Saccharomyces cerevisiae S288C: one gene and its partners. Changing the gene in region 1 together with any one later gene gives a genetic interaction. Each region holds a gene or a part of one and is shown on either strand. Other genes may lie near its edges. The genes, in order: BNI4, RGD1 and RGL1.

The links.
Region 2: mutations in BNI4 (region 1) and RGD1 impair growth when combined (synthetic growth defect), as found in Saccharomyces cerevisiae (4 studies listed by BioGRID, with this or other methods).
Region 3: mutations in BNI4 (region 1) and RGL1 impair growth when combined (synthetic growth defect), as found in Saccharomyces cerevisiae (4 studies listed by BioGRID, with this or other methods).

Annotation. Positions count from the first base shown.
Region 1 is NC_001146.8:210,018-213,854, reverse strand, and holds the start of BNI4 (Bni4p), read right to left. Parts: upstream 1,934-3,837; coding exon 1-1,933. Other genes in the region: YNL234W (uncharacterized protein), read right to left, coding at 2,342-3,622.
Region 2 is NC_001134.8:732,803-736,639, forward strand, and holds the start of RGD1 (GTPase-activating protein RGD1), read right to left. Parts: upstream 1,838-3,837; coding exon 1-1,837. Other genes in the region: TAE1 (N-terminal protein methyltransferase), read right to left, coding at 2,030-2,728; MIC12 (Mic12p), read right to left, coding at 2,918-3,238; glycine hydroxymethyltransferase SHM1, read left to right, coding at 3,462-3,837.
Region 3 is NC_001148.4:424,368-427,967, forward strand, and holds RGL1 (Rgl1p), read left to right. Parts: upstream 1-1,865; coding exon 1,866-3,305; downstream 3,306-3,600. Other genes in the region: YPL068C (uncharacterized protein), read right to left, coding at 1-729; HTC1 (Htc1p), read right to left, coding at 884-1,480; ESCRT-I subunit protein VPS28, read left to right, coding at 3,560-3,600. UniProt on the Saccharomyces cerevisiae protein: Regulator of RHO1 signaling that acts as a cofactor required for the efficient localization of the TUS1 GTP exchange factor (GEF) for RHO1 to the bud neck during all phases of cytokinesis.

The DNA of each region.
Region 1 (3,837 bases):
TTTGCCTTTCAGAATCCTTCTTCAGAGGTTCTTCTCTTGGTTTTGGTACATCCCTTTCAACTTCAGTTTTTTCTTCATCAGAGGCCATCACTAGCTGGTCAAATTTTTGTTCAATAGACTCTAAAAATATGTCATCTTTTTTTAGTGGACCACTATCGTCCTTGATATCTAAAAAGTCCTCATTCGTGGTACCTTCGTAAGAGTGTTCTCTGGAGAAATTATCTGAGTATTCGAACCTTCCATTCTTTAAAATGCTGCTAGCAGGAGACTTCGTCAAGTCTGGAGTAGATAATACAACAGAAGATGCCTCAGTGATGAACATTCCCTCACTTTGCGCTTTGATCGATAGCGTATCTGTCAATGACCTTCTTTGCGAGTTCATTGAACTTCTCTTGTTAGACTTTGTAGATCTTGTTCTTTCTAAAGAAACGATCGAGTCGACTTCATGATTATCCAAAAATTTTGGGAAAAGAACCTCACCTGTATCGTGTTTGGAAAATGCTGGTGAGGGTGCTTCGTAGTCCAGTGATAAAAAATTATCCTTGGTTGGTAATTGAAGATCATTTTTGGCATCATCATCTTCTCTTACGTGTTCTTGTAGCGGGGTATTTATCTGTTTATCACCTCCCAATATGAGATCCATGTTTAAAGGAGTAGGTTTTCTCTGATCAATTGATCTCGTTACGTGATCTATTTTCACGGGAGTATCGTCGTGGTTTTTTCGTAGTAGAGGTGATTCAGTGGATAACACTGATGCGGCGTCAATTATTTGTTCAGTATCTTGCTTTTTGTCCTTGGATTTTGGGGTTCTTTTTTTTTGCCTCATTGGTTCCTTTCGAGGTGAGTCTGATGTTTCAATTTTTCCCTTTAGGAAGGAATTGAAAATGCTACTGCTACTGTGAGACTTCTTCTTTAGTTTTTCAGGCGTTTTTAAAGAGGTTTGAATATTCATTGAGAAAGTGCTCGATGAAGACATCTTATTTTTTTCATTCGTTACACTATTATTACCAATAACTGGTTTCGGTTCTTTCTTCTTCAGAAATGAAAATATACTCTTTTTCTTTTTATGCATAGAAGTGTCTTCAAGTACCGAGCCTGCTGAAGTAGTCCTTTGGGCAGAAGAATCAGTATACTTTCGCGCTTCTGCTTTGTTTAAACGAACTTTTGGGTTGTATAATTTACTCGAAGGAGGCGAGGGTTTCGGATCCTCTTTTAAAAATGGTGCGCTATGTGTTGTGCTTTCAGTTTCTGAATTAATGATAGTATTTTCCTCCCGCTTAACTGGTAAATTGTTGTCTCGTTCGAGAATAGTACGTCGTGTACTAACTTTGCTCCGAGGTCCCTGAGAATCAGGTTTTACTCTAGGAGTGGACAAAAAGTCAGGTTCTTCGAAAGACGGTAAACTCAAAGGGGCAACTTGAATACTATTGGATCCGTCAATGTCAATAAGGTTTGGAGAGGTCATCGCCAAGTTTTCATTTGCTTCCTCTCGTACAGACAGCCTGGATCCAGTTATATCCTCGTGATAATTGATCGAGTTGTTTTGCTCTTCGGCCTCTTCTTCTTCTTCTATTATGGAAGACTCAATATTTTGTGCCTTTCTAGTTTTTTGGTCAGCATATTTGGATCTTTCGTTCAGAATATCAGCCAATGCACTTAATGAGGGGGAAGTTGTCATATTTACCGTTTGTACTTCTGAGTCTCGGGCATTACTTTCTCCAAACGACCGCTGCAGAACTGAGCTTTCAACATCCCTATCAAGGACGGATTCGCATGGCTTTATTGATGAATTTAGACTTTGATCTGATATCTCCTTCAATATCAGAGAATTTCGAAAGGTTCTAGCATGATCAAGTGTATTTATCGACGTCGACGAATAAAAAGTAGAATTTAAAAGTTCTGAGGACTTTGAATCTGAAATACTATCCGACATATTCTGTTGAATACGTAGTGATATATCGTTATTAATAAAAACGCTGCTCGTACGGCTTTTGCACTCTGGTTGTTGAGATTTCTTTGTCAATTTATTTGAGTCGCTTTTCCTGTTGTTTATTTGCAAAGTCAAAACCTGTACTAATAAGCGAACTTGAGGGGGTCAACTCTAAGTGTGAGAATATTACACGTCTTGTTCTAAAGAAGATATAAAGCCAATCTGATTTCTTCGAATCTGAAATGATTTTTCATACTCGGGACGATAGAAGAGAGAAGTTGACTTGACGCGTCTCCGCTGACGCGCCTATATAAGACAAAGATTAGCTCGCGGGTAATAAAGAACAGGCAGTGATCTAAAGAATATATAATATAACCTGGGAAACTTATACACTTAATGGTACGGTTGTAGTTACATAATCGAGCAGTTCTTCTGCTGAGCAGTTTTTTGCAATAAATGGATTTTTTCATCATAATTATTTTTCTTGGTATTACTTTCCACGACGGTACTGCTACCGATGCTTGGTTTTGTACTTCCAGAGCCCTTTGGTGAGATTGGAGGCGTCGATTCACGGTCGCTTTTTATTGGAGTAGAAGAATTGTCTAAGAGTATTTCTGTAGGAATTTTATTTGTCGGTACTTGTGTTATATTATGAGGTATAGTAGCGTTTTTAGTTTTCACCATTTGTAGCTTGTTAACTGTACTTATATCATGCATCGCAAGTTTGGGAATGGAAAAATTTAAAACCACAGAGTCACCATTATACGAAAAATCTGGTTGAATCTTTTCCATTGGGTCCTTCCCTGCAGTAATCATACAATTTGCCAAATATGAGTAAAGTTGTCCCCATAGATTTTTGAGTTCCAGTGTGAGAAAAGATCCAAACCTGTCCTGCAATGTAGTCATAAATGCTTTTCCCATTACTTCGAAACCAACGGTTTTGATGCCGAGAATTCTGGAATGGCGTTTTCCTAATTTCACAATATAATCATCTAGGACATGAACGTTTTCAAGGTTGTCAATAGCAGAATCAAGGACCTTACAGAACGAAACTGCTTGATGTTTTAATGATGGAAAATATTCTTCTAACAAGGGATCCATTGCAATCAAATTGTCATAAAACTGTGAACAAAATAGTGCAGTATCAACCTTGTTATCATTGTCCCTTTGTTTTGTTTTACGTGGCCTGGCAGTAGGGTCAATAGTTTTGGAAATCATACCGTCAGGAGCAGTATTCAAATAGGGTCTTTCTGTTGAAGTAATATGTTTATTGGAATACAGAAGTGCTTGAAAAACTTTTAATTCTTTAGGTGTTAAATACTCCCTGAGGAGGATATCCCAGGACATTCGAAGTAACAGCAGATCTCTTGCATTAACTTTAAAGTCGAATCCTTCTGTATTCGGGGAGTCACCACGATCTATCTTGACCTGGTAGACACTACCTTCGGAACGTGAAATAGATTGTGGCATAAAATCGCTTCCGGAGTTTTTGGATGACATTTCACTTCTCATGGAATGATCATGAGAGCCAGGTCTCTCGTTTATTTTCAAATTATCGACTGGACCTATACTACTGCTGTTGTAGGAAGGCAGGGTTACGTTGTACATCATCGGTTTCGTATGGTGGACATTCCCGCTAGACATGTCGCTGTTGGTTAACAACTGCGAATGAAGTATTTTTTCTCCTGTCATACACAACCAGCTTATATGTGGATGAATGCAAACAACTGCAGCGGTCCGGTGGCGAGTCCCTTGAGGGGCAGACTCATATAAAATGGTTGCATAACGATTGCTATTTTTCAAAGGAACATTATTGCTCCGGCTCGTTCGAGCCTAAAAACCTTTTTTTTTGAAGAGGTTTTTCCGATGCCCCTTTTGCCTACGGAGTTTTCACTATCTGCCACGTA
Region 2 (3,837 bases), on another chromosome or scaffold:
ACACTCTTTTCAAATGAAAGACAAGAGCCCTTAACGTCCAGTATTGTGCGTCGGGGAGGTTATATATTAGTCCGTGCATAAAATTTTTTCTTGTTGTTGGGTCTTCAATTTGTAAACAAACCTTGATCTCCGATGATAGGGCCTTTGGTAAAACACTATCAGGCAGCGACGCAAAAAAAGTTTTCAGCAGTGATCCTACTAAATAAATATCCGAATCAGAATGTGGCTTTGATGGTAGAATCATGGAAATGTTTGCGGGATCCTTATCAATTTCCTCCTTCAACTTGCTGACATCAAGTACATTTGCCGATTTTCTATAAATTCCTTCTTGATCAAGCCCAAATTTATCAATAACGTATATGCATTGGCGCACTATCGCAGGGACCATGTCTTGTTCGAATTCTATCAGTGATTCTAGCGGTACACCAAATGTTTTGAAATTTTTTTGAACACCGGGTGGCATATTGTTGTTAGTCTGAATGTGAGAAATCGGGCGATCCGAGTCTAAAGAGTTAATCAATTCTTCTGGAATTTGTGGACTATTGTTGCCAGGATCCAGGGTCTTTGTTATGGATGATGTGGTGTCGCTTGTTACAATGGAAGAAGACGGTGACATAGCGCCAGCCGCATTGCTAGTGGAAGAAATAGATGAAGCCATAGTAGGTGGTAACTGCTTGTTGGTATTTAAGGACGGTGTAGCACTGTTAAGATTAGCATTCGGAACAGCGGCAGTGTTACTACTACTGCTCAAAAATGGAGATTCATTATGAGTGGATATCATTCTCTTCGGGATGGAGTTTCTTGAAGGGTCCACGGCAAACTTTGGGGGGCTCTTATTTTTCTGACCATGATTCATTGATGGATGCTTTTTGTATGATACAGGGATCAAGTTTTTGTTGATCAGTAGGGAATGTTTTCCTGTTTGGTTATACTTGTTCAAAAAACTGTAAAGATCACGTTCATTGGAAACAGATCCAGCAAATGATTTCATAGATTTGGTGGAGTCCAATGGGCTTATTGTAACACCTGTATTCAGAACCAAATTTTCCGTCCATATCGTGTACTTCTGCAATTGGATAGTCATCGCTGTGTCTATTTCTAAAATCAAATCTTTTAATTCTTGAACAATTCTAGGTCTCTCCTTCGTTATGAATGTGTTTCTCAAAGAATTAGAATGATCTACTTTTTGCTTATATTCCAGATCGGCGTTATCGATTTTTCTTAACAATTCTTCTTCTTGTTCCTTCGTAGTTTTGGAACCTCTCAAGGTCAGCTTTGTTTTTGTTGGGTCAGTCATCCTCAATTTGTCCCAATCTTGGCACAACGAATTGTAACGAGATTGCGCCTTTTCTGCGCTGTGTATGGCATCAGAAACATCCTTTTCCAGCCTTTTGCTGTTCTCCTTGACAGACTTTCTTAATTTTGTCATTGTTAATAAAAGACTACTAATCTCGGAGTACATTTTCTGCAAGGCGGTGATATAACTCTGCTTTACTTGAGCCATCTTGCCATCGAATCCCAAAACTTCGTGAATCATCTTTTTTAAGGATGAATTTGTGGAACCCTGAATGTTGAAAAAGTGCTTATATTGCTTGGAGAGCTCCTGAACGTGCTCTTCTTCGAAGGCGTATTTCTTTCTAATAAATTTCATAAACTCTTCACAAGTCAACAACGACTGCTTTAAACGGCTCAACAAAGCGTTAATTGCCACATCGGAATTTAGCACCTTCTTGATCTCTGGCGTGCTAAAAAGGTGCGCCAAATCGTCGGTGCCACCATCGTGCGACGACTTCGCACTTACTGTGGCACTAGCTGGTTTCTTCGCAGTCTCTTCCATCTTGTCTATATCACTTCTCTTTTAATCTTCCGAGATTGTATGTTTTTACTTTACATACTATTTTGTTCACATTCTTTATTTTCTGGGTTCTTTTTCCATATATATCGAAAAAAAAGTCTATATAATGGCACAAATGGTGAATGCCAGCACAAGAAAAGGGGCGTATCTATATAAATCTATGCATCCTTGATCCTAGTTTGGCATGGGCTTGAGTGCGTACATCCTCACTGGGTACAATTCTCTTGGTAAGCCACGTTGTCTTTCACTGGCGATGAGCTTTAGGCCAGCTTCTTCGAAGATTTGCCTGAACTTAGCATCTGACCTTGTGACCGAAGAATCCGTTTCGTCGAAATCATCGGTATCTGTAGGTGTGTTATTTTCTTTGACCACGATTGTCCCATTAGGTTGCAAACCAACAATACATCTTTTCAGGAATGCGACGAGTTCTGCATCTGGCAGGTGTCCCACGCACCATTGGCACCAGATCAGCCAGTACTTGCCGGCATCGGGGGTCCAGTCCTGCATCCCTACTTCATATATTTGTCCAATTTGGCCTTTGTCTTTCAGCTCAGCCAATTCAACGTGCATTTGCTCGATAAAAGGCTTTACCGGTTCTACAAGGTCTATCTTAGCGGCGTGCTTGTGAAGCATGGTCTTGCTTACACGTCCAATCCCCGCACCAATGTCTACAGCGTACTTCACGTTGTTCTCCTGAGGCAGCATCCTCGACTTCAGTTTACGCAGGAAGTTATTGGATCCCAGGACATCCATTGTGGGTACTACTGTACCTTCTCCGTATCCACCTAGAACACCATCCACAGTGGCGTCCACATCCGTCCAATAGTCGATGGCATCTTCGTATTTGATATGGGAATCTGCAGGCACGTCCATCGTTGTTGTTTATGTATTCTTTCTTGGAGATGCTCTTGACACCGATGCACATTACCAGAGTGAAAAGTACTGATTAATAATTAAATTTTTCTTTTGATATTTTTTCTGAATATAAAGTTCTACACAGAGTCGTTACAATAGGTTATATACATGAGGATGTTCGTTACAGTAGGAGAAATAGAAAGCTCGCTAATTCTTACCCCAGGAGTAGATCCAATCGACAGAGTTTCTTATCTGTTCATTCCAAATATCTTTTATGCTCTCCCCCATGGTCCTGCTCCATGCAGTGCCATCATCCGTCACAACTAGCTTGCGGTTCCTGGTCTCCCCAGGTACCACTTCTTTTCTATCCACCAGGTCCTGTACCTGATGATCTTGTTTCAACCATGTAGCATCGTGATCGTAGAAGTAGCCATTGTTACTGTATCGGTACAGGTAAAAAACAGAACCGATTACTCCCACAGAGAGAGTCCACTTCACAGATCTTGCTAACGGACCCAATTTCGACATGATTCTCTCCGTTATCTGCTGGTTCTTAGTCCACTGTCTGTTCTGTCCCCCTTCTGTCCAAGAGATAGAATATAAAAAAGACTCATTATTTTTTTTTAGGTACTTCGCTTATTGGTGGTCAATGAGAAAAAAAATACTAAAAGCCATCGCCTCTTGGAGAAGAGCAAACTATCAAAAATCATCAAGCCGACATTTCCACATCGAGTCTCATAGTCTTTCAATCATGTTTCCCAGAGCTTCTGCATTGGCCAAATGTATGGCAACTGTTCATCGTCGTGGGCTACTCACCAGTGGTGCACAATCGCTAGTCTCCAAACCAGTCTCGGAGGGAGATCCAGAGATGTTTGACATCTTGCAACAAGAACGTCACAGACAAAAACACTCTATCACCCTTATCCCATCAGAAAACTTCACCTCGAAGGCCGTTATGGATTTGCTAGGTTCTGAGCTCCAAAACAAGTATTCTGAAGGTTATCCAGGTGAAAGATACTACGGAGGTAACGAAATCATCGATAAGTCCGAATCCTTGTGTCAAGCAAGAGCTCTGGAACTGTACGGATTAGACCCTGCCAAGTGGGGAGTTAATGTTCAACCATTAA
Region 3 (3,600 bases), on another chromosome or scaffold:
GCTATTAAGTGTCAGCGAATTCGCCGTAGTTTGCAACGCTGTGTTGTTTGTATGGCAATTGTTATTATATACTTCCAAATTAATCAAATCTACCAGGTTAATAGAATGCAAATTCGCTATCTCATGGATGATGTCATTGTGGTAGGCAGTGCCGCTGTGACTGGGGTGGCTAAATGGAGGTTTCCTCTCAGCTAGCATTTTTTTCAATTTGTCTGAGTGCGCTTGAGAGGAGGCCTTTAATTTGGAAGTAGTGACTGGTCTTGTCTTCGAGTCACTGTTTAATTGCTCGAATGAATATAATAGGTTTACGATGTTTTGTAGGAGTTTTAGATCATTGGGCAGCCTTAACATTTCGAAATTTTTCAAGCCGGCGAGAGTCGGCTTATGTATATCTTTATAAAATAATCTTTGTTGTCTTTTGATGAGATTGGACAAATTTTTCTGAACTTCCAATACAGAGATCTTTTCGGGATCATCATCAGGTGAAGATAGGCTGGCGCTATTGTGGAATTTAGGGCGCTGCAGAGGCTTAGGTATTATTATATTTGAGGTGCCCAGTGTTGTGGTTGTGGCTCGAATAGCTGGACTAACCATGTTTTGTGCGACTACTTTACGCTTCTTAGGGACAATAATGGATGGTACCGCTGCCGTTGTGGTTGAAGGAGGATCGGACGTCTGATTTCTCCCTGAATAGTCAACCCTTTTTCTTTTCCTGAGTTGCATATGCATATTATATTGTATGTGCTTGTGTAGGTAGAAGCGTCTTTTATTTATCTACTGTCTCATCAGCTCATCGCATCATTAATACCAGTATCGGTTATAGTACATAATTAACAAATGTATGTAGCATTTTGGCATGCTGAAAAAAAAAAAAAAAACTTTATCAGGCAAGTGGCTCGAAACCGTGTGAAAGGATATCATCAACGGTCGTTTTTACCTGTTCCGCGGAATAGCGTTCCCGTGGGAAGAAAAGCAGCACGTGAGCGTGGAAAATCCGGGCAACACTTTGTAGTTCCGGGTAGTTGACAAACCAGGCCACGTGACCCGAGCTTAGAAGTGGACGCAGTAGCGGCTGTGCCTGCAAAAATGCATTCATGCGAGCGCGGGCCGCTTCGCGCACGGCCTTATCTGGGGAATGTACTGGCAGGGCAACCTTGGACCAGAGAACAAGGTGTACAACACCAGGCTCGAAGTTATACGGGAAATCGTTGGCACGCACAGCATATAGAGTAGAAGAACTAAAAGCCTTCGCGGCAGCATTTTCGAGCTGCGGTTCGTCTAGCGACCAGCCTAGTTTTTGCAAAACGTACTGGTTCATGTCCAGGCCAGCAGTCCTTTTCTTATGCTCGTGGTATTTGTCAGTCATCTGGCGACTTCGTTTCAAACGGGCAAGCTCCCCCGATTCAATTATCTCTTTGATTTGTTCCCACTTCCACCCTTGGGCCTCCTCCTGGTGATCGTTGACGATATCTTGTTGCATTGTAAACCTAAGCTGTTATAAGTAAATCAAGTGCAATACAAATATATACAGCATGCTGGCGTCCTTAGCCTCACGCCTACTAAACAAGAGCATCTTACTCTCACCATCCATTTATATACATATATAAGTACGTAAAAATAGATGTGTATAAGTCGTTCTATCTATAACGCGCCCCGAAGTTGTTTAGTATAACAAAAACGGAAAAAAAAAGAAGGAAAATGGAGATTGCCAAAAGCGCGCTAGTTTGACAGAAAGAGTGAAATATTAGTTCAATATTTCAGCTGTCACGGTCATCACTGCTCCGACACTTTTTTGTGGGATGCTTTCTGTTCACCTTGGTTTTCTATGGGTATATAACAGCTGATAAAGAATCGAAGAAGTGAAAATGACGCACCCAGTTATATCACTAAAGCCAAGCTACAATTCTGTAATACGGGGCTGCCCCGGTTTACCTGATACGTTACCACGAATCGAATGCCAGTTAAGAGTGCGCTCAAACAACTCTTTGCCATTCAAATTGGTAAAGATCGAAATTGTTTTAAAGACAATTGAAATATATTTCAACAAAAACCTTTATAGCAGCAATAACAGCTCTTTCACCCCATTTAATCGTCCGTCGGACCCCTCTAATGGCCATTCTGACACCAGTAACCAGAACATCAGCATTCATTATAAGAAAAACATCGTGTTATCCCACCCTACCCATGATGGCGACGATCTCAACAATGATCTTATTGGCATAGACATACCTTTGACGATTGGGCTACCTGACGACATCAAAGAAACAAACTATAATCCGAAATTCGGCAAAACGCAGACTTTCCTGGATTGTACCGTGTTTTATACAGAGGTCGGCGGAGGAAGCTCAAATAAGAAAAGAAATTTTCTTTACCCAGTAAACGTCGAAAGGTATACATACCTACCTTCACCGTCATATTTCAGGCCAATAAACAGATCAAACATCACTTCTCCCGATCAAAAGTTCTTAATTAGTTATTCCATTGAGAATCCCTGTGTTTCTATGAATAATGACACGTTGAAACTCTCCATATCAATCAGGCTGAACCCATTTCCGAACAATGCCACAACTCCCTCTTCGAATGACTTTGATGTGTCCACGCCGACACTTTTCTCCACAAAGAAAAAGTTTAAGTCCAAGCTCAAATTGAAATCAATTACAACACAGATACTAGAATACTTGGAAATTCTGAAGAACCAATCAGAATTCTCATCCACGCAAACAACAAATATTTTGCAAACCTCTGTAAGACAGGTTGATCAAATCATCTCCATGAATTCAATGATTTTTCAATTCAACCTAAAAATATTCACTAAGGACAAAATTTTACAAAGCTTTAGATCTTCTGAGTCGAGTTGTCCCGAAACTAAAGTATTAATCAACAAAATCGACGACATTCCTCTGCAATATCATAGTTCGATAACTACGATAGGTCAACATTTTAATGTTTCTCACTATCTTTCAATAAGGTTCAAATTCAATAAAAGTCTGAAAAACTTCGAAATTAATCACCCCCTAATCATATCGTTTTGGTCAGTAAGTCAATTGCCGCTAATCGAGAACCTAATATTGCAAGAAAGACAAACTGCTAAATTTGCCAAGAAGTTTTATAAAAATTTTGGTCGAATCAAGAACACGAGCAACAACAATAACAGCTCGAACTGTCTAGAGTATCCCTCCTTGCCGCCAATAATTTATAATTTTAACGACCCAGAAACAAATAATAGATTTAATATATTATACTCGCAAAAGGACCCTAGTCGTACGGATCCTTCTAAATTGAGAAGAGTACCTGTCATACAATGAGGCAGTGATTGGCATGGTTCATATATTAAATCAACGCAGATACGTAGATCTATAAAGCTTTTGAATAATGCTAATGTATTATATATTTATATTCTTCTTGTCCCGCACTCTGGTCTTTTCAATTTTCTACATGAAGAGAAAAAAAGACTATAGCGTCCGGCAAAAAAAAAAAAGTTATGGTTTAACAATACAACGGCCCCATGGGTTTAAAATAAGGGCACTTTCATAAAGTCACTTATCACTCAAAAGCACCCATGCAAAAACACAATATAAAATTAAACCAAAACCAGGATAT